Drosophila melanogaster: one gene and its partners. The protein of the gene in region 4 interacts with the protein of the main gene of each other region in a pairwise test. Each region holds a gene or a part of one and is shown on either strand. Other genes may lie near its edges.

Region 1 (7,304 bases), 9.0 Mb from region 4:
GATTCCAATTTCGGCTGCTGCTCCCGCATAATGGCCTTCATCTTCTCCATTTTCTCGGTCACCTCCTTTGCCATTTTGTACATGCGCAGAAAGGCGGACATGCAATCCTGCGGAGTATGCTTTTTGCAACGCACAAACTCATGCTCCAACTGGCTTAGGGCTTCTCTTGCCCTTTTACTTCGCAGCTTGGTGTACAGGTGCTGCATATTGGCCTCCATCCGGACGGGATCCAACAGATCCAACCCATGCAAATCACGCCGCATGCGGTGTTTCTTGTTCAACCGGAACTTAACCAGCATTTGCCGCATATGCTTCCTTCTCCTGTTTTTGCTATCCTCCATATCCTTGTTCATATCCTCGTCGAGCAATTTGAAGTGCAAAGTTTGAGGACTCACAATCAGGGCAGACTGATCCTCCTCAAAGGGCTGGTTGAAAAGCACCTGGTGCCTGGCATTCAGCGCTGCAATCTGCTGCACTTGATCTTTAAGTAATTTATTAGTTATTATTACTCTTATTATAACTCGTTAACGAACTTACCAATTTTCTCCACCACTAGCCCGTGGTAAACCAGAGAAAATAGCAACACGATGATGACCAGAATCGAGATGGCCACGATCCGTTTGCCGAATCCAATGCTCCACCAACGTCGCGGATGCCGAAGCAGCCTGGTGGCCTCCATCTCTAAAGAATTCCGTTTAAGAAGATTAGTGTAACGAAATTTCTTAACCAAGTTCAATTATGGATTTTTTGTAAGCCAATCGCTTAAGTATTAAACTGTTTACATACTTGTATGTTTATTGTCTTGTTCGCAGTTTTTATAAAAACTCAGTCTACATACTTTTATTTTCAACATACATAATTAAACACTTTTTATTATTTATTGTGGTCAGCACTTTCTGGCCTGTTCAGCACTTTTGCAATAATTTTTATAATAATGCTGATCCAAGTTCAAAATAAAATGGAACTTTCGACCATTTTATGGAATTCACTTTCTGGCTTAAAATGTTCACAGACGTGGGTGAAAATATTAATTGTTTTTGGCCTATTTTTTTTTTTGCCAACGAGTACGGAAGTTATTTTCAAGATTTCAAAGTAACACATACCATCCATGTTGTAATTCATTATTCATAAATTGATTTATCTTCTGGATTTTTCACTTAAGCTCTGGACATTTTTAACACATAAGCTTTTACGCCACAAAATCGCTGATTATTTCTTTCAATTATATGTTAAGCACTTTGTTAAATTGGCCGGGAAACAAGGAGCCTCAGGTTACAGCGATTCACTCAAACAAAAATCCACAAAAAGCAATCGCAAAGCAATTTGATATGCACGATAATCCAGAACGGTAATAATCACTACGATGACGACTTCCGCGCGATCCGGCCGGTAAAGAGCAACTGAATCCGACGGTGGTGAATGCGCCGCTTATAAGGGCTTCCGGAAAGTGGATCAGCGGGCAAACGACCCACATCCAGCGGCCACTGCTGCACTTTTCTGCTACGTTTCGAAGTTTATGGTTTTTTGGTTAATGAAAAGCGGCCCGGCAACTGCGGAGGTCAGCTGAAATGGCCGACGAAAAGTGCAAGTTGAAGGGGATTTTGGAATGGCAGAGCAACGAACCAGCCGCCCACCACCTATGAAACCAGAACTGTAAGCTAAGCAGGCCCAGCATTAATTCTCAACCCTGTGTCAGAAGTTTCCAAATCAGTTCTTTCCCTTTTTTTTTTTACAAATTTCGTAAAGCGCATAAAAATAAAAACATTTTTCCACACATCAAAGCTTTGACCACGAACACTATTTACCGAAAAATATAAATAAAAAACAAAAAGAAACGGTAGTAAAACAGAAAACACATGCATTCTACTTAGAAAATCAAATAAAATTGTTTATCAAAATTTTACCATCAGACAGAATGTAAGTAGCAGCAGCGCATGAAACGTGCAGGAATCGAGTGTCTTAGCCAGTTTTCCCATGAACCCACAGAACTTCATTAACAAAAATTGATGCGCAAGCAAAGAAAGTATATGCCCTCAAGATCCAGCCAGTCATTAGTCATTGGAGGAACCAGAAAACAAACACAAACACAAGGACCTTCCCACGGCATGCGCATAGAGTTCCTTAACATATTAACCTTTATCTCGAGATAACAAACATGATGTGGACCAGAACGACAATCGCACTGCGCAGAATTGCCAGGTCGCAAAGGTAAGTAACAAATAAACTCATTTCATTCAAAAAGGTATTAGTTACTCATACTCATACACCACCTTGAACGACTAATTATTGTGTAGGTGATATGTAGGTAAATGATGGTGATGAAAGATTAATAACAATAGTGGCCAGTTAACAATCAATAAACTGTGCATGAAAATAGCTTATGTTCTTTACACTTTCAACTTTTATTAAAGATAAATTCAGTTTTCGATCTATATCAAGCCAATTAAGGATTCAAATGGTCAAGAATATTTATGATGATTAAGAAATATGAGAATTTACTGAACAAGTGAAAATGGCACATTATTCTTAGCACAAAAATTATAATAGTTCGTTATATCTTCGATAATATGCACATATCGATGTGAAAAAATTAATGTATGTTATTCTTGTTTGTGTCATCTTAGTCTTCTACTCTAGATGATTCAAATGATAATACCTATTTCAGTATATTGAGATTAAACTTGGCGTCATCGCTGAGATCTTAGATCTTGTCCGCTCCTGGCGGTATTTTGATCAAGGACTGAGCTTCGTACAGCTCCTCCAGCAACTTACGGAATAGCTCGGGGCTGATGTTGTTGCCCACGCGCATCAGCACGAACCAGTCGCCAAAACTGCAATTGCGCAATGCCACCTGCAAGTGCTTCTTGGGCATGAAACGTGCCCTGGCACGAAGCAACTGAAGACGCATTCCGGGATACAAAACGGTGGCCAGGCGGTACAGAAACTTGAGGGAAATGAGCATAGCCACTAGTATAAACCATATCCACAGGAAGGCGAAGATTTTCTCGTTCAGTATATTCAGGGGCAGCAGGCAAAGGTAGTCGTATATGTTGGAAGAACCGCTGGGGCCGCCCTTGTACATCTCGCACTTGGCACACTTGGGGAAGACTGCCATGGTTATAATGTTCCACTGGTTATAGTCGCCATTGTAAAGGGACAGCAAGGCATTACGGTAGCGGCCCCAAAAACCTCCGAAAAATACGTCCAACAGAAGGAAGTTTAGAATCTGCGGGGTTGCAAATAATTACAATTTTTAGTAATATCGTAGATTATTGAATTACTAGTTTTGGTCACTCACACTGATGCTCAAATTGAGTATTTCGCAGAAGACGTAGCTAACGAAGTAGCGGAAGTGGGTCTCTTTGTAATCGCTGGAGAAGTAGTTGACTAGTACGCGCAAATGGGTCCTGCTCTTGTCCTTGCAAACGGCCATCTTGTGGAAATCATCGCACAAATGCTTCAGCCGACCGCCCTCCCAAATCTTCCAGAGAAATGCTGGCATATAAAACACAAACGACTCGAGCAGCAATACCAGCACGACCCACTGATAGTAGGTTATGTAGTTACGATTTTCCGGGGGCACTACCTTACTAACCGCATCTGAAATGAAGAATCCGTGCTGAACATGGGAATCTTTGAAGCATTTCCAAACTCACCTGGTCGGCACTGTGCAGCTCCATTCCTTAGGGGCGTCACAGTCACATTGTCGCTCACATAGGCCCCGTAGATCCAACAAAAGGCGTGCACGTAGTCCATATCCTTGTCCCCAAAACACTGGATGGGATCGCCGAAATATTGTTTCGAGGAAAGCAAAAATGTGCAGGCCAAAAGCAGGGCCACTGTGACTTTGGAGTGCAGCGTGAAAATAGCATCGTAGATGTGCACCGACTTGAACTGCAGATACTTGGAGAGCGGTTTAACAGCTGCGTACATGATGGCGTATTTATTTTATTTAATTTCGGGCGTAAAACAAAAATTTTGGGGCGGTTGTAAAGTTTGACGATTTAACTTGTACCAAAAGCACGCGGCATCATAACGGTTGATGTATACTATGGTTGTCTCTTTCTTACTCACGCCTGGGAACCTTACGTACAAACCGCAATTTCCAGCAGCCAGCTTTTGGCAGGCACTGATTTCGGCTGGAAAGAAGTCAGATTTGACGAGAAAATAGCGGGACTGCCAGCTCTGTTGGGGCTAAAAACTGTTTTTACCATCTGGTAACACTAGCACGTTGCACATGTTAAATCTTCGTGTTGACAAATTGAAATCTACTGAAAATCGAGTTAATTTAATAAAAGTTGCGTATTTTCGCCTGCAGCTTGAACGGTAAGCGCTCCAGGATGAAGGAACATATGTCCACCAAGCAGCACGAGCGCAACGAGAAGAAGAAAAAGAAGCTGGCGGCCCTGGCGAACCTGATGGAGCTCAACGATCGCGATCGATTGCACGAGGCAGAGTTGGCCAAAAAACGCGATGCAGAGGTCGAAGTGGAGGAGAAGTCAACAGCGAAGGCGGAGGACGGGGACGACGGTTTCATCGTGGTGGGCAGCAAACGCAAGCCGCGAAACCGTCGTCAAAACAACGAGCTGGAGGCGGATTCACAGACTGCCCCAGGAACATCAGATCCTGAAGAGCCGGTGAACAAGAAAATCCGCAATTACGATGCTGGTGGAGATAGCCTGCCGCTGGAGATTGGCTCGCTATCCGAGGATCAGTACAATCAGTTGTCGGCAGAGTTGAGGCGTCGCAAACGGGAGCTGGAGAACGTACCGGCCTTGCGACTGCGTGAGATGGGTCAGCGCGCCTCCCTGGAGACTCCGCAAGATGCTCGTACGCCCATCTTTCTAACCGACATCCAGAACCTGTTGATGTGCGCTCTCATTGGCCAGAAGAGCCCCTGCCGTCCGGATCGCTGGTGCAGCGTGGAGAAGTGGCTCAGTCTGTCGCACAGTGTGGTGGTCATTCTGGAGGGACTATCTCTCTACCACTATCTGTCTAACGAGACCCAGTTTGAGGCCACCAACAGGATATTCAGCACGAAGCTGGAGATGATACTTCCACCGCAGGAGGAGGGCCAGAAGATTATCGACGAGATAGCCAAGGTAGGGCTTCGTTGAAACTGTCTGTTTGCCTAATAATATATCCCTTGCTCTTGCAGATTCCTCTCACCAATGCGCAGGCACGCAGACTGATAGACGAGCACGGCTCCCTGGAGTCGGCTGTGGAGCTGAACAAAGATCCAACTTTGTTTGTAAAGACAATCTTTCCAATCGAAAGCTCTAAATCTGAGTCGGATGACATGCATGAGGATGACAAGTTCCCACGCACTAAGCTCCTGCTGTCAGCGCTGCAAATGGTCGACGAGGGCTATCCTATTCCATTGCAGGGCGAGCTACACACTCGTTTCCAAAACTTTAAGTTTACCAAGGATCTGTATGCACCGGTAACCAATCGCAGTCCTATGTTCGGCGTTGATTGTGAAATGTGTCACACGGAGGCGGGTTGTAACGAGCTAACCCGAATCTCTATTGTCAACGAAAATTACGAGACCGTTTATGAAACGCTAGTGTTGCCAAATAACCGGATCACCGACTATCTAACCCAATATTCGGGCATAACCGCAGAAATTATGGAGCAAGTGACCAAGAGGCTGGATGTTGTGCAAAAGGAAGTGTCCGAACTGCTGCCTCCAGATGCCATTCTGGTGGGGCAATCTCTAAATTCTGACTTGAACGCCATGAAAATGATGCACCCGTATGTAATTGACACCAGCGTGTGCTTTAACACATCTGGGGTGCGACGACGCAAGACCAAGCTGAAGGATCTGGCCAAAACCTTTTTACAGGAAATTATCCAGGAGAACATCGATGGTCACGATTCCATTGAGGATTCGCGAGCCACGCTGAAGCTCGTCAAGAAGAAGCTGGCAAACAGCATCGAGTTCGGAGACCAGATCCTCACGCAGCACAAGCAATTACAGGAGTTGGCGAACGCATCCAGCGGTGATACCATATCCAACAATCTGTTTGCACATGTGGCAAAGCGGGATAAGCGCACGGCCATTGTCACGGTCGGCGAGCTGCAGCCCCGTCTAAAGGAAGTGATCGAAAAGGCGGGAGAGGCAGCGCCCAAGGATCAAAGTACGTCGGTGCATGTCCACGAGGTATCTACGGCCAAGGAAGCCATTCGGAAGGTCAATGAAGTTGCACTGGAAAATGCCCTGACAATTGCCAACCTCCGCGTGCCAGAGCAGGACTTTATATTGGACAGTGCACAGCGGAGTGTTGCCAAACTGGACAAGACCATTGATCGCCTGTGGAAGTCAGTTGCGCACAACGGACTCTTCCTCGTCATCATGGGCGGATCCACAGAGTGCTCGAAGGGTGTAGCCAAAATAGCCATCAAGCGACTAAACGGATCGAATCAGACTATGGAAAGTTAGGGAGCTTTTAAGAACCTTACTTATGCTAACCGCCTCCATGGATACCCGCTCCCACTAAGGTCCTGAGTGTTGAAATCCAGCAGATAAATCAAATTTACCGTATCACACTGAAGACATGACCAACAGTTGCATTACCATACACCTGGGAAATGTCCTGCATGCATGAGTGCATCGATGAAAAATTGTAAAATTAAAAACAAATTCGATCAATAACGAATAATAAAATGTACATTTAATTTTTTTCACAAAATTCCATTGGCTTCTGCATAGTTGTATTAAATTAAATGAGCGGTAAAAATTATTATGGATTATTGTATAAAGAAAAAACTATACAAAAAACTAATTATTATTGATTCCATTTTAAAATTTTCTGAAAGGGTCAACATAATACATGGTTTATTGAACCGTAAAAACTGTTCGTGTCCGCAGGCAATTAGAAATAATTCCAGTATCCGTCCGATACATTTTCCGGATGGAGCATTCCAAACTGGCTGCTTGAATTTGACCCAGTTTCGTCTGGTTTGCATTGCCCGATATATGTGGCTGGTGGTGCTCGCTGGCCAGGCGGCTGTGTTGATAAGAGCCACAAATTTCCTACCTCCCTCAATGTGGTGCTCCGTTGTCTAGGGCCCGGCCCGAAAGCCCGAACTGGGCCTCCTCCCTAGAAGCGCCCACGCACTCTCGCTCTCCCTGGCTTTTTCATTTCCCTCTCTGTCGCTTTGGAAAGGGAAAGTCCCCGCAGCGGAGTATCTGTGTCTTATCACACGCTCGAAAATGTTGCGTCTTTTTTGGCTGAGTACTCATACGACCTGTAGGTCGTGCTCAAAGTTTCTATGCGCATGTCCCGCCGCAAGAATTTTCT
Region 2 (3,837 bases), on a different chromosome or scaffold from region 4:
ACGGAAACTTCTGCTGCACCGGCAACTCATTTAAGTTCTAATCACCTGCAACGACGACAATTAATTAGCTGGCTTTGGCCAACGACAGCGGCAGCAGCAGTCATTAGTCTGAAGGCCCATCGGTACCACAAGGGAGCCATGATGCTGCAGCTTCAGCTGGAGCTGAAGCAGGAGCAAGAGTTGAATCCTTAGAGCCCTGGCAGCATCTGATAAACAACGAGCAGTGGCAACACCAGGAGAAGCAACACTAACGGCAACATCTGCATAATGCGGCAAAAGGAAGTTGCTGTCCGCTCACCCCGAAGATGTGGAAAGGTGTTCCTGGACGATACTTAAGCGAAATCAGATGCGGCAGACGGATATTAAAAGCAGGCGACAACCGCAGGAACTGGCAAAATGTAATTATGTTGTGAAACTTGTCCTTTCAAACGCTGTCAATTGCAGCACAGGCGATGTCTTCAATATAAGATATTAGTATGTGGAACTATATAGCCAAAAGCACGCAACTCTCATCATTTAAGTAGCAAAGTTTGGTTTTATTATAAATGTCATCTCATCTTAGCTCATTGCACTTGGCCCGGATCATGTTGAAGGTAACCGTGCCGACGCTTTGTGCCGCGTTGTGGAGCAGCTCAAAGATGTGCCGGTTGCGCTGACCCTGCTCCACGGTCCGCTCGTGCAAGCGACGCAGTGCGTCCGAGTAGGCCGTGTACTTGGCCTCGCACTCCGTGTCCAGCTTGAAGACCTGATACAGCTGCTGCAGATCGTACAATTGGCGTGCGGTCTCGTCGTATAGCAAACTGGGTGACTGTGGCAACAGCTGCTCCCAGTGCTCGTGCACCAGGTCTAGGAATTCAAAATTGCTAAAAAGAAAGATGACGAACAGGTCCAGTCCCTTGGTCTTCAGCTGGGCGAGAAGATGTTCGGTGATGTGCTCGCTGCTCGATGTGTCCCGCATCTCCTCGTAATCGGTGCGCAAGTGGTGCTCCAGGTACGCATACACCCGTTGACGTTTCTCGAAGAAGTCCTCCGTGGCAAGCATGACGTCCAGCTGCTGCTGCATCTTGTCCAGCTTGGCACTGCTCCCGGCCAGATCAGCATGGTCACCGTCGATGATGTCCTGCAGCAGGGAACGCAGTATGTGCAGGTAGTTGTCGATGATTTCGGCGCCGGATAACTTGACCCGCTCGTACAGCTGCGCCCCGAACTCATTGAGATCCAAGCCGGTGGAGTTCACCTCCTTTTTGGTCAGATTGAGTTGCCCCAATGCCGCCCCGACTGTCTGTTCGTTGATCAGGCGACTGCCGCGATGAGGAGCCGGTCGGTCAAGTTGCTGGCAGAGGCGGTGCATGCGCATCATTCGGATCTCTTGTGTGCTAGTCTCCTCGGCAGCCCTCAGCGTGGATCTGACTCGGTTCAGAAAGACCAGGTTGCGCAGCACAATGGTGTACTCCATATCCGTGTCCAGGTGCGGACGCACGTCGAGCAGCTGCTTGATGAGCGTCACCTTCAATTGAAGCTTTGGTGTTGCGCGAGCTGCACTCATCTCTTCGGTGTAGTTGGCATTCCGAGGAATGCGTCCTAGACGATCCAGGTAGTCGTTGAGACTCGGTTCAATCCGCTGTTGCACCAGGTCGCTTAACTCGCGCAGAAGCTCCAGCTGGAAGTCCTTCACACCAAGATCCAGCTGGGGAGCAACAGGATCCGCCTGCATGAGCGGCAAGAGGCACACCCATGGCAGCCACCACTCGATCATCATCTTAGAGGGAGCTGGCTCCAACTGATTTTGATTGCAGAAACTGCGTTGTTGTCGCCGCCAGTTGGCTGATTAGACGAAGGGGCTTAGATTGGGGTCAGTAGTCAAGTCGGTGATGCGGTTAGTTCGTCTGATATGCCAAGCCGACCACTGACGATTAACCAGTGCGAAAGCGAACTGCGCTCAGTTCGACAGCCTTATCGCTACGGAGCTGGCACTGAGAGAAATAATGGGTAATCCAATTCGTGCAAATTATATTATATTTTATTTTCTGCTAATAATCGAACGCAAATTAAGGACAGCGAAAATAAGAAAGGAAAGAGTTCAGCGCTGATTACAATTCCTCTGTCAGAAACCAGCACAATTTAATACATAACTTTTTATTTGAAGGTAATGCATTTTTATCCTTTCCCCATTTCGACAACTATTGTTCGTCGAAAGGGCATTAGTGGCAACAACTGACTGGTGAATCGGGATAGGATTGAATGAGGGAATCGATTCGCTGTAACCTGGTGCCCGTGCAACTGCAAATGGCCAGGACATTGGTCCCTACAATGTATCAAATAGTCAGCGCTCCTTCCCAATTTGTCTGTGCGGGCAATTGTTGACCGAACTCAAACTGAGCGCGTGTGCGGGATACCTATCACAAGTTAGCTTAAAGTTGCAGACTGCAGACTGCTGCCATTTGACGACAGAACTTCAGCGGAATCCCAAATGGGATGTGGCATGAATCCACATGGATTCCAAATCAGCGATGCTCGTCGTTCTTCATTCTATGGCGCAGCTTGATTGAAGTTCGTCAAATTGATTGAACTCATGCCACTTCCCCTTTGCCAACTTTTAGCGAAAACACTTGATTTCGATTTCGTTCGAACATTTCTGTGCATTAGCCTTTAATATTCGATCAAAGGGTATCTGCAACCGCATAATGGCCAACACCTTTTAAGACGAAACCCAAAACGCAAAAAAAAACTATGGAAACGGTTTGGCAAAGAGCGTAAAAATGGGGAAAAATGGTTAAGAAAAAATGAAAGGCACACCGATAAAGTTTTTAGGAAAAAAAAAAATGTAAGAAAAAATAAAAGATACCAAAAACCTGAAGAAGAAATTTTCCAACAATTGCACAATTGGCATGGGCTACGCATTCGCTTCAATGGCGAACGACCAAGACACTTTGATTCAAACTGTGGCCAAGGACAAAGGATTTCTGGAGGACGAAAGCCAAGGAGTCATGGCTGGAGGAACGGCTGCCCTCCACATTGCTGGCACTTAAGTGACAAAATCTATTCGCAAGAAAGTCATCTGGTTAGGGTATCTACTAGCCCATAGAGCTTTGCTCCGGTCACTCATGGTCGGTCATTTTATTCTTATACTTCGCCAGTGATGCCTTTGAGAAAAACTTTGCCACTTTTTCCATCATCGCCGACAGTTTTCCTTTTTTTTTTTTTTGTCTTTCTGTTTTTTCGGTAACAAAGCCGAAACTAAACTTTCCAGCGCTTTGCCAGACGGGTGGAAATTCTCGCTGGCCAGGGGCGTGAAAAGCGCTAAAAGCGTTTTAATGATTTTAAAGGAGTTAAACTTTTGTTTTTTTCAAAACACTTCTTATGCGCTTTCTTCATTGTCCGAAAAAATTGCTCTTCTTTTTGAACAATTGTTTTGGTTATACTGTGCTTTGATTTTATCGCTCATCCCGCGCGTTGACCGAGCATCATTCTAAGTTACATTCTAAGTTGTGCTCTTTTATATGAATAAATACCCTGTACTCCTAGAGGCATTGGGTATGCACACATCTATATCCAATAAAGATGTTGGACAGTCATCTGTATAAGAGAATTTTAAGTTCTTTCAGCTACATTACTTGGGATCAGAATTCCCAAAGTAAATACAAATGCGAAAAGTACTTAATGCAAGATTTCATGATTTCCATTTAAATCGAAGATATTGTCATAAAATTATCTCAGTGTATTTATCTGTCCTTCTATTTTGCTTCATTGTTTACTCAACTTGACAGATTAAGTAAATGCTTGAGGGGCCAATATAGAGCATCGCACATACATATATTTATCAACTGTGCATTTTCT
Region 3 (4,722 bases), 3.0 Mb from region 4:
CGCATTTAAAGCACTTTTCAGTGCCAACGGAAAAGGATTAAAGCAAACTGTCGGAAATTCAACCAGAAGGATTAAAAGTTTTGCTCAAAAGGCCAAACTAAAGTTTGACTCCGAAGAACGTCGACAGTTGCCATATTTTCTGTGTCACTCTCTTTCCAAAGTTTCTTCTAGATATCCCCCAACTCTTACCATATGTTTGCCAGCTTTTTTTTCACTGTCATCTAACCAAGTCGAACTTTTTTCTAAACGAAAACATCAACTGGCTCCACATGGAAATTATTGCAGCAAATTTCTTTCCAAGTTGGGTGCGAACAAAAACGGAAAATTTCCTGTTCTTCTAATGACCAACAGAGCAAGGGAGATAACTCCGGGTTTGGGCCAGGTGGATAGTTTTCCAAGTGCACGGCAATTAGATTTCGACGCCTGGGGCTTCTTAAGTTGGAGCTCTGAGACGGTGGCAGTGCTGAGATATGATTTATTTACCCAAAAAATGTAGGAGGAAACTAAAGATTGGTATCTGAAACGCAATCACTTTCCAAACTTAATTTAAATATCTGATAAATTTGCAAACTAACTTTGTAAACTTTGGAAAAAATATGTATGAATGATTTATATCGAGTGTGATGTTTGGTAACGAGGCAAGAACATATTTTTAATGTTTTTAAGAATATATATATGATATAGCACAGTCTTGCTATATCATATCCTAAGTAAATTGTGAGAGCATGCATTTCTTGTCCTCCTTTCCATGTCATTACTGATTTCAATTATTGCAAACAACTGTATGCAAAATGCATGCAATTAAGGCTAGAATAATCAATCAGCAATCAAAGCCTTTCCGAATTCAAGCTAATACACGTACATTTGCAACTATAATTATAACATTGACTGTCCCAATACCGATATAATTTTAAATGCAGTGCCATACCTGAACTACGAAACAATTGTGCCGAAAATAATATGTTATGCAAACACATTTGTGTTATTGGAATTTGGTAAAAGTATAAATAACACATTACGTATACGGCCGGTAAGCCATCCCATAAACGATTTTGAACATTTTAATTATAAGGAATTATAAATCTGATAAAATAAGGGTATATGCTCGCTAATATATGTTAAATTTAGAGTAATTAAATTTAGGTCCAAAATAACTGGAAATAATTTTTATAACAGCATGATACCAAAGGAAGGTAAAACTTTTTAAAATTTCTTGTTTTAGCATGAGATAGATAACACATGGAAGTAGTTTTGATTAACCTATAGCGACAACACATCTCAATATTATACTTTGATAATCCTTGTTCTTATATCCTTCTAAATGGCACCAGTAGAATCAACAAGCACTTGCCCAAAATGGCAACAGAACTGCAAGCGCTAACATTCGACTGTTGTTGGCCAACGAAAGTGAGAGTTCGTATAAGAGAGAAAGTGTCGGCGGGAGAGTCTCCCTCACCGCGTGCTCTCCCGACCAACTGTTAATTGAGGAAAATTGCAGCTGGGAAAACGGCAGCAGACCGCAACACGCATCAGGCATCAGGCCAATCGGGCGACGAACCTGAAAGCCGAGCACCGAGCGCAATTGTGGATCCGAGCGACTCTGCAGTCGGAAAACTCGCATCGGAAAATTCGCATCGGAAAACTCGCATGCACCATAACAAAATTCGCCGGCAAATGCGGCGCGCAGTATGCAAAACAACACCGGAACGTGCAGTTCAGTCACTGTATCTGAATCTAAAATAATAATATAAAACCAAACTACGAGCAAACCCAGGGTAAAGTAAACAAAAACTTCGCCAGCGCCAAAGACCAAATTCGATGAACGTGCGCGAAAAACTCAAACCAAATAGGGTGAGAGTGGCGAAAAAGTTGGGCGGGTGATAGATAACCCCCGGGGGCTTTTCCTGCTGCCTGCATCCAATCCAAATTAGCGGCCAAAAACGCAAGGAAAATAAACAAATAATTTTACTACCAGCCGCCGTCGAATCACAAATAAATCCGACGTAGAGTGAAAAATAACATTAGCGTCGCAATCCGAGGAATTGCAGAAACGCTTGCCAAATATTTTGAAAACCCCGAAAAGTGCGTGGTGTGCCATTTTATCGGATTCGAAAGGATGAGTGGCTAGATGACACAATATATTCAAGTGGTAAGCAAAATGTGCCTCGAGGAGCATCGAACGGGTTGCCTTGTGTGCACATCTAAAACGATTGGGTGCTATCTATCTCCAATGTGATTAGAAATATGTATGTACTATATAGTAAATAAAAAATAAGCTCTCCTCATCTACATATAAATATAATCCTAATTCTAGTTTTTGAACTTAAATTAAATATAAATATAGTTTAACTTGAAGGGTTTGCAATACTTTCGCTCTGTGCTTGGGTTTTCCATTTTCAACGTTCAAATGTTTGTGTGCGTTGAAATTTATCAGATAACTGAAATTCTGTGCGAATAGCAATTTGTAACTGTTGAATGTCTTGCGTTGAGGGAAAGAGGTTGGTCTTCCTACGAGGCGATGGGATGGGTTGAGGAACGAGGATGCCCGATGATGTGGAAACTGAGAAGGGCTGACCATCGACGGCAGCCGCAGTAAACCAGAAAGGATTTTGGGGAAACGAAACAAAATTTGACAAATTAGGGAATGCTGGAATGGTCGTAAATGTTATTCAGAGAAGTGCTATGCTGAGAATAAATGCAGAAATTGTTACGGAGACATGTTGATTAATTCGTTATGTGAGATGTGCAGAATAAAAATGCCAATTTAAGAAAAGAAATGCCAAGGCCACAAGTAATTTTCTTAATAAATATCCTGCATACATATTAAAGTGCAGCAGAAATTATTTGTTATTGGCTCATTACTCCTAGGGGTGTGGAATTTTGTAAACTTGATTTAATTGTAAGTAATTCCCATTTTATTATGAGAAAGTTAACCAAGTGGTTCAGAACCAAAGCTATGAGCTACTTACAATTTTTATAGAAGCCCTCTATGTTGTTCAGCTATGAAACTCAAGTTCCTTTAGCCTCCGTAGTTCCCCCTTCACACCAGATAACCCGGCGAATGAGCTCATCCAGCTAAGTAAAGTCCACTAAAACCGAACACCCCCTCCCCGCAAGACCAACTAAAAGGCACAAGGAGGCGGAGATAGCCACTGCCACCCCATGACCATAAAGCCCAATCAAAAGGCCGTTGCACTCGCTGACTAACGGACTAACTGAGTGAATGACGTGCCCTGGCCCAATCCTTCAGTCAATCGGTTTGATGGCCTGAGTCCGAATGTGGAGCTAGAAGCAGCACGGGAAGACAACGCAAACAGCAGGCGAAAGTGAAGGAGCAAGTCACGGAGGAGGAGCAAACGAAGCGTTTCAGCAGCTGCTGCTGCGACTCTGCAACTCGGGGCGTGTAATTTGTCAGACAGATTTCTTTTAGCGCCAGGACACAACCCCTCCCATCCAATCCAATCCAATGCTTCCTACACACCCACACTCAGCAATTGCCCACCCACAAAAAATACCGCCCACGTCATTGCAACAAAACTGCTTCCTTCCTGACTTTTTTGGCCATGCTCTTTGAAACTGAACTGGGCGTCCGACGAGGCTGGGATTGCTCTTACAAATCAGATATTCCCTTTAATTATATAATTTACAAATCTTTGTTCGTGAGTTTATACATTACATACATAAAATCGGAAGTGTTTTAATTTGCTTTTACTTTTGCATTTAAAAATGAATTATAATCAAGTTGATATAGTATGCAATTTTTTAGCTTGAAACTATAAATTGTACACTTTTAAATCCGTTTTATTTTATAATTTTAAATCAAGGATCTTAACAGAATAGACATTAAAAATTGTAGTCTTTCATTATAGGTTTGCACCATTGGTGACATATTTTGTCAATGTTTCTGATACCAAGTAGCATTTGGCAAAAATGTGGTTAAGATAAGAAAAAATGTATAAAACACCCCGGACTTTTATTAAAACCCATTGAATAAGTGAAAATGGGAACAGTCTGTGCAAAGGTATTGAAAAAGGAAGGGAAAGGAACGAGCCAGACATTGACATTTCAGTGCAAATGAAGTGATAAAACGTAAAGGCAAAGCGGCGTCAGCTAGAAAATTGCCAAAGTGGGTAAAGGAAGTGTAGGGAAAAGTGTGGAAGAGAGAGACAGACATAGTTGGGGAGAAAGAGACGGACGACTGAGCTAGATAGAGAGGGCCTGGCAGACAAAGCGCGTCGAAAATGCGTCTAATTTGATGGAAGCGATGCATGCCTTAACCTTTCGTCGGCGTCAGGCAAACAGACAGCAGCAACAACGAACACAACGATGACAGGCACCAAATGATAGCATTTCCTCCCAACTCAAAGGATCCGACTTAGCCAAGAACAAGGACACTGGCAAGGGAAAGGGAAGGGGAAAGAGTAGGAGAAGGGACCAGCCAACTGGGAGAGGATGAGCACCGGATTCAAATGGCGGAACAAGTGCCAGAGATGCTGATGTGGCGCCTCCTCAGCTGCTGACAACAAATTGATGGCCAAGGATGCACAGAAATTCCTCGGAAATTAGTCAACGCACAAGGGATTCCCACAAACTTCACTTAAAGGGGAAACCGTTCTGAAATATTAGACCGTTGTTAATATCCCAATCCTTCATGCTTTCCCAAAACAAAATTCACTTTCTTTCCTTAATCAGAACGAAAAAATATCCAAAAAAGTCCCTCAA
Region 4 (4,315 bases):
CAATTTTGCACTTAAAAATTGCTTAATCGCTATGTTTCCATATTTGCTTTTATTCTTGAAATCCATTGATTGTTTAATATGGTTTTTTTTTCTGTTCTTTACCTTGATGCTGTGTCCATTATGTACGATAGGATGCCGCGTCGCGCGAATTGGGACATTTGTATTTCGTTTCCGCTCATAAAAATGTGTGTATGTATATTTTTAAATATTAAATACCTAGTACATATGCTGTGTATATTGATAATCAGTTTCTGTTTGAGTTTCTTGTGTTATTGGTTTTATTCTTGTTTCTGTGTTGTGTGTTTCTTCTGCGTATAAATGTTTGGATTTGGAGAAGTCCCTGAACTCTTAATTGCTTGCCCACAGGCTGGGAATTGAGTTAGCCCGCATGCATATAACCTGTAGCTTATACGATCATCATCTTAGTTATCAAAGTAAAATTGAGTAGATAAAATCAGCGTAGGACCATTGTTTCAACTACCCTCGGTACATATAAACTTGTTAAATAATTGTTTTCTCAGTTGTTCGGTTTAGTTTCGAAACGTGTATAATTAGAATTAATAATAGTAATAATGTTGGAGAAATTAAAAGGCGGTGGCTCGCCGCCCTGGGCAGGAGTGGGAGGAAGAGATGACGCGACCCTGGCCTGGCTGCATTATGTGGTCTCGCCCTTGCCGCTGTCATCAGCGGATTCGGCATCGTCCGCTCCGGCGGCGGCCGCCTCTCTGACCAGCCCGTTGTTCTTGCACTTGCTGCTGCCTCCATTATTTTTGCTAATCGGCGCCGTGGCACTGTCCTCATCTTCATCCTCGTCCTCATCATCGTCGTCGTCCTCATCGAAGTCATCATCAGATGGCAGATCATCCTCCGTCTCCAGATCGAAATCATCATCGTAGAAGTTGGCATCCAGGCCAGACTCCGTTGTGGGCTTGCGCGTGGGCTTCAGGCAGTAGTCCTCCAGGGTCATCGGAACCACAATGCCCTCCCGCTTGGCCTCGGCATTGGCGGCCAGTGCCTGTTTTCGTATGATGTTTGGATACTCATTGTCCTTACCCTGAAATCAAGCAAGTCCTTATTAAAAAGCCAAGTGGCGTTTGTAAATGCCTAGTATGCGGACTTCAAGCTTTGAATAAGTTACATTGACTGTTCGTGTGAAAAGAGAACGTACTTACAATGTAATGAAGGAAATATGCACGTTCGAAGAACCAAAATCAAGGCATGTAATTAAAAGTGAATTACAATGTTGAATTACAAGTTCAAAAAAGAAGCATTGAAACTGACATTGATTGAAATCAAAGTTAATAAAACTAGTAAACTAGATCTGGGCTTTCGAACTGACTTAGATTGATCTTCGAGTAAAATGACTAGTCCATATTCCAAAGATAAGTTTTGCACTGCTTTCATTATTGAGAAGTCCGCATACTAGACATTTACTATGACTAGATGAGCCAGTCTAACCTGTGAGTCCCGCCATCGGCGGTACATGACCGAGGCGTCCACGTTGGCCGGCGAGAATGTGTTCGGCTCATTGAGCAGCGATATGACCGACAGCAGGATGGTGCGCACATTCTGCGTGGGATTCCAGCGTTCGCAGGGCAGCTCGCCACTCTGCGGATCATCCACCGGCGGATGTAGTATGGATATGCACAGATCACCGTTCTCGTAAACATTCGGATGCCAGACCTTCGTCAGGAAGCGTATGGATGGCGGTGAGTATGGATAGTCGTGCGGGAACTTCATGTGCGCCTTGAAGTAGCCGCCCTGGTAGAGGGTGTCCGGTGGCCCGAAGATTGCCACCTCCCATTCGAACAGATTGTCGTCGTTGATCAGCTTGACGCGGAATCCCTCCACCGGCTCTTCCTGCAGCGACTTGTACTCCATGGCCAGGGCGCGAACGGCCGAGCTGCTGGGCGTGGTTGTGGGGGCAGCGGCGGACGACGAGGTCGCCAAGGATCCAGAGCCCGCCATCATTGTGGAGGACGATGTCGCATGCTGCGATGTGGAGGCGGCGGTGGTCATTTGTTCAGCCACTTGCAGTTGTCGCCGTACTCTGTTGGTAAAGAAGTTTTCCAAATGCCGAGACATGTCAATATTTTGATTTAGGTATGTTTAAATGGAGTGTGTCAAATGGCTACTAGCAACGGCTACTAATTTCATGACCGGGAGTGTCTATGTGCAGGGTCAATATCTTGCTGCCTGCTGATGAATTCAAGGTGAGCACGTCACAAAAGCGATGACTGTGCGGCTGTTCGAAAATACTGGGCTGGGAAAACTGCGAAAATTTGGTCTAAACTCTAGTCTAGTTGTGCGGCGAAATTGCGGGAAATGTACATCTATATTTGTCAATTTTGAAAATGGGGAAAACTATTTTTGCTCTTGACGTTACTCTTGATTTTGTTGTTGTTACTTTCACAGCAGACAACACAAAATTAAATACCGATTTCCAAGTAAAAGTTGAGTGGAAAATTGATTTCCATATAGCAAAGCTGACAGCCCGTCAATACGTACTTGTGTGGGCAATTCTTTTTGACTTCTTGTACGCGCTTTTAATGATTTTTATTATTGTTGTTTGACTTGCAACAATTTCACTTTACAAAACAAAAACCAGGGTGACATTACTTGAACCAGGGATGGACAACCTGAGTCTGCCGCTGAGAAGGTGACGTTTGCGCATGTTTCTCGCCGCGCAGCATGAAGATGGCGTGTGACGTCACAAGTCTCGGCATTCCAGCGAGTTTTGAATTTAAAAGAAAACCTTACGATTTTGAATCGGCAAGCGATGAGTGTTCATTTGAATTAATATTAAGACGCTAAGGTTTGATGCTGCTGTTTTTTTTGGGAGTAGATTTTATAAAAGAATTTAGTTTATAGCTTTACAAATGATTTATTTAAGAAATACATTAGAGACTTATATATGTGGCTAAATAGCGTATTAGTATATTATCAAACGATTTTGAAATTTTCTCATACTTTCGTGAAATATTTATGAAAATATATGTTTAATAAGCAACTTTCTGCCTCCTGCATATCGTATGAAATAACTAATAATAACAGTTAGCAGTTAAGTAGATTTAATTTCATTGTGCATTTGTATAAACTTTGTTAAGCCAAGTTCCCTGATAAAAGTAGTAACATTATGTATTTATTCGTTTTTGGTATTGCATAAGTGCGTTAATTTTTTTTATATCTTTTTATCTTTGGCTTTGGCATTTTGAAACTTAACGAATGCTGGAACACCCCTACTATCACAGTACTTGTGCAGTATAATTTCTTGGTATATTCCGTTGGTATTTCGCAGCGAAGCGCTGAGCCTCAGGCATTCTGCAGCTACCGCTTGATGTCCACACTCCGTTTTCAATATACAGCGAAAAAAGTCGAGCGTGCGGGCGAGCGCAGCAAAATAATTAAACACTCCCCGAAATAACACAACTAAACTAGTGCTAAACTAACCGAAAGTGACGCCGAACGCCGCGTTCTCAACAAATCCAAGCGAAATGCGATAGGCGAGCGTTTAATTCAGTAAGCGAAGGGGCGCAAAAGGCATAGCAGCTCCGAGGCGTTGGCCAAAAAGAAGAAAAGCGCAAAAGAAACGGAGAAACGCAGTGTAAAAGAGAGACGCGAAGAAGAGAAGAGAAAAATGCATACAGCAGGAGTGGTGGCGATTTTTTAATCAAAGCTGGCTTTTCAAAGCTGCTCATTTTGGGCTAAAATCTGGGGCTGCGACGCGAGAGTAGGTGTCGAAAATAAAGTAAAAAATAATAAAAAATAATAAATAGTGAAAATCTGAAAGATATTTTCCGCATATTGGGCAGGCGAACAAATTAACATTCCAGTCAAGTGAACATGTTTGTGGCCAGCATAAAACCATAAAATCTGCCGAGCACATTTTCCTCTGCTCGCTGAAAAACTCGCCAGCACATACATACACGCACACACGCGCACGCAAAAGCACACAAACACAGGCAGGAAGGCAGGGAGGCAGGAAAATCGCGTGAAAAACCATGTCCAGCTGGGCAGAACGCGTCCATAGGCGCGCCGCGGATTTGGGCAACGTGGTGACCTCCTGCGGCCACCCAGCCACCGCTCCCGCCTACCCGTACCGCCTCGAAAAGGTCAAATTCGGTGTGCCGCTGGAGGAGGTGTGCAAGCACAACAACAACATTCCCGGGCCCCTGCTCGTCCTGATCCTCAAACTGAACAAGGAGTCACCGAACCGCCGCGATGTATTCCGCGCACCCGGCCACCAGGGCGCAATGAAGAAGCTCATCCACTTCCTGCAGGCCGGTCGGCTCGTCAACGTGGACAACTATTCGGT

The links.
Region 1: the proteins of CG7656 (region 4) and Rexo5 interact in a two-hybrid assay, tested with the Drosophila melanogaster proteins (one large-scale study listed by BioGRID).
Region 2: the proteins of CG7656 (region 4) and CG42369 interact in a two-hybrid assay, tested with the Drosophila melanogaster proteins (one large-scale study listed by BioGRID).
Region 3: the proteins of CG7656 (region 4) and AstC-R1 interact in a two-hybrid assay, tested with the Drosophila melanogaster proteins (one large-scale study listed by BioGRID).

What each region holds. Positions count from the first base shown.
Region 1 is NT_037436.4:6,601,977-6,609,280, forward strand, and holds Rexo5 (RNA exonuclease 5), read left to right. Parts: upstream 1-1,707; 5' UTR 1,708-1,917; intron 1,918-1,986; 5' UTR 1,987-2,208; intron 2,209-2,389; exon of another isoform or gene 2,390-2,701; coding exon of another isoform or gene 2,702-3,226; intron 3,227-3,298; coding exon of another isoform or gene 3,299-3,600; intron 3,601-3,656; coding exon of another isoform or gene 3,657-3,933; exon of another isoform or gene 3,934-4,056; intron 4,057-4,202; exon of another isoform or gene 4,203-4,318; 5' UTR 4,319-4,340; coding exon 4,341-5,102; intron 5,103-5,158; coding exon 5,159-6,442; 3' UTR 6,443-6,763; downstream 6,764-7,304. Other genes in the region: ndl (nudel), read right to left, coding at 1-481, 538-681, 1,104-1,122; zpg (zero population growth), read right to left, coding at 2,702-3,226, 3,299-3,600, 3,657-3,933.
Region 2 is NT_033779.5:6,395,335-6,399,171, forward strand, and holds CG42369 (uncharacterized protein), read right to left. Parts: upstream 1,916-3,837; 5' UTR 1,760-1,915; coding exon 554-1,759; 3' UTR 519-553; downstream 1-518.
Region 3 is NT_037436.4:18,558,556-18,563,277, forward strand, and holds the start of AstC-R1 (allatostatin C receptor 1), read left to right. Parts: upstream 1-1,702; 5' UTR 1,703-2,149; intron 2,150-4,722.
Region 4 is NT_037436.4:15,585,547-15,589,861, forward strand, and holds CG7656 (uncharacterized protein), read right to left. Parts: upstream 2,630-4,315; 5' UTR 2,509-2,629; intron 2,322-2,508; exon of another isoform or gene 2,051-2,321; 5' UTR 2,020-2,050; coding exon 1,459-2,019; intron 1,055-1,458; coding exon 656-1,054; 3' UTR 534-655; downstream 1-533. Other genes in the region: RhoGAP71E (Rho GTPase activating protein at 71E), read left to right, coding at 4,002-4,315.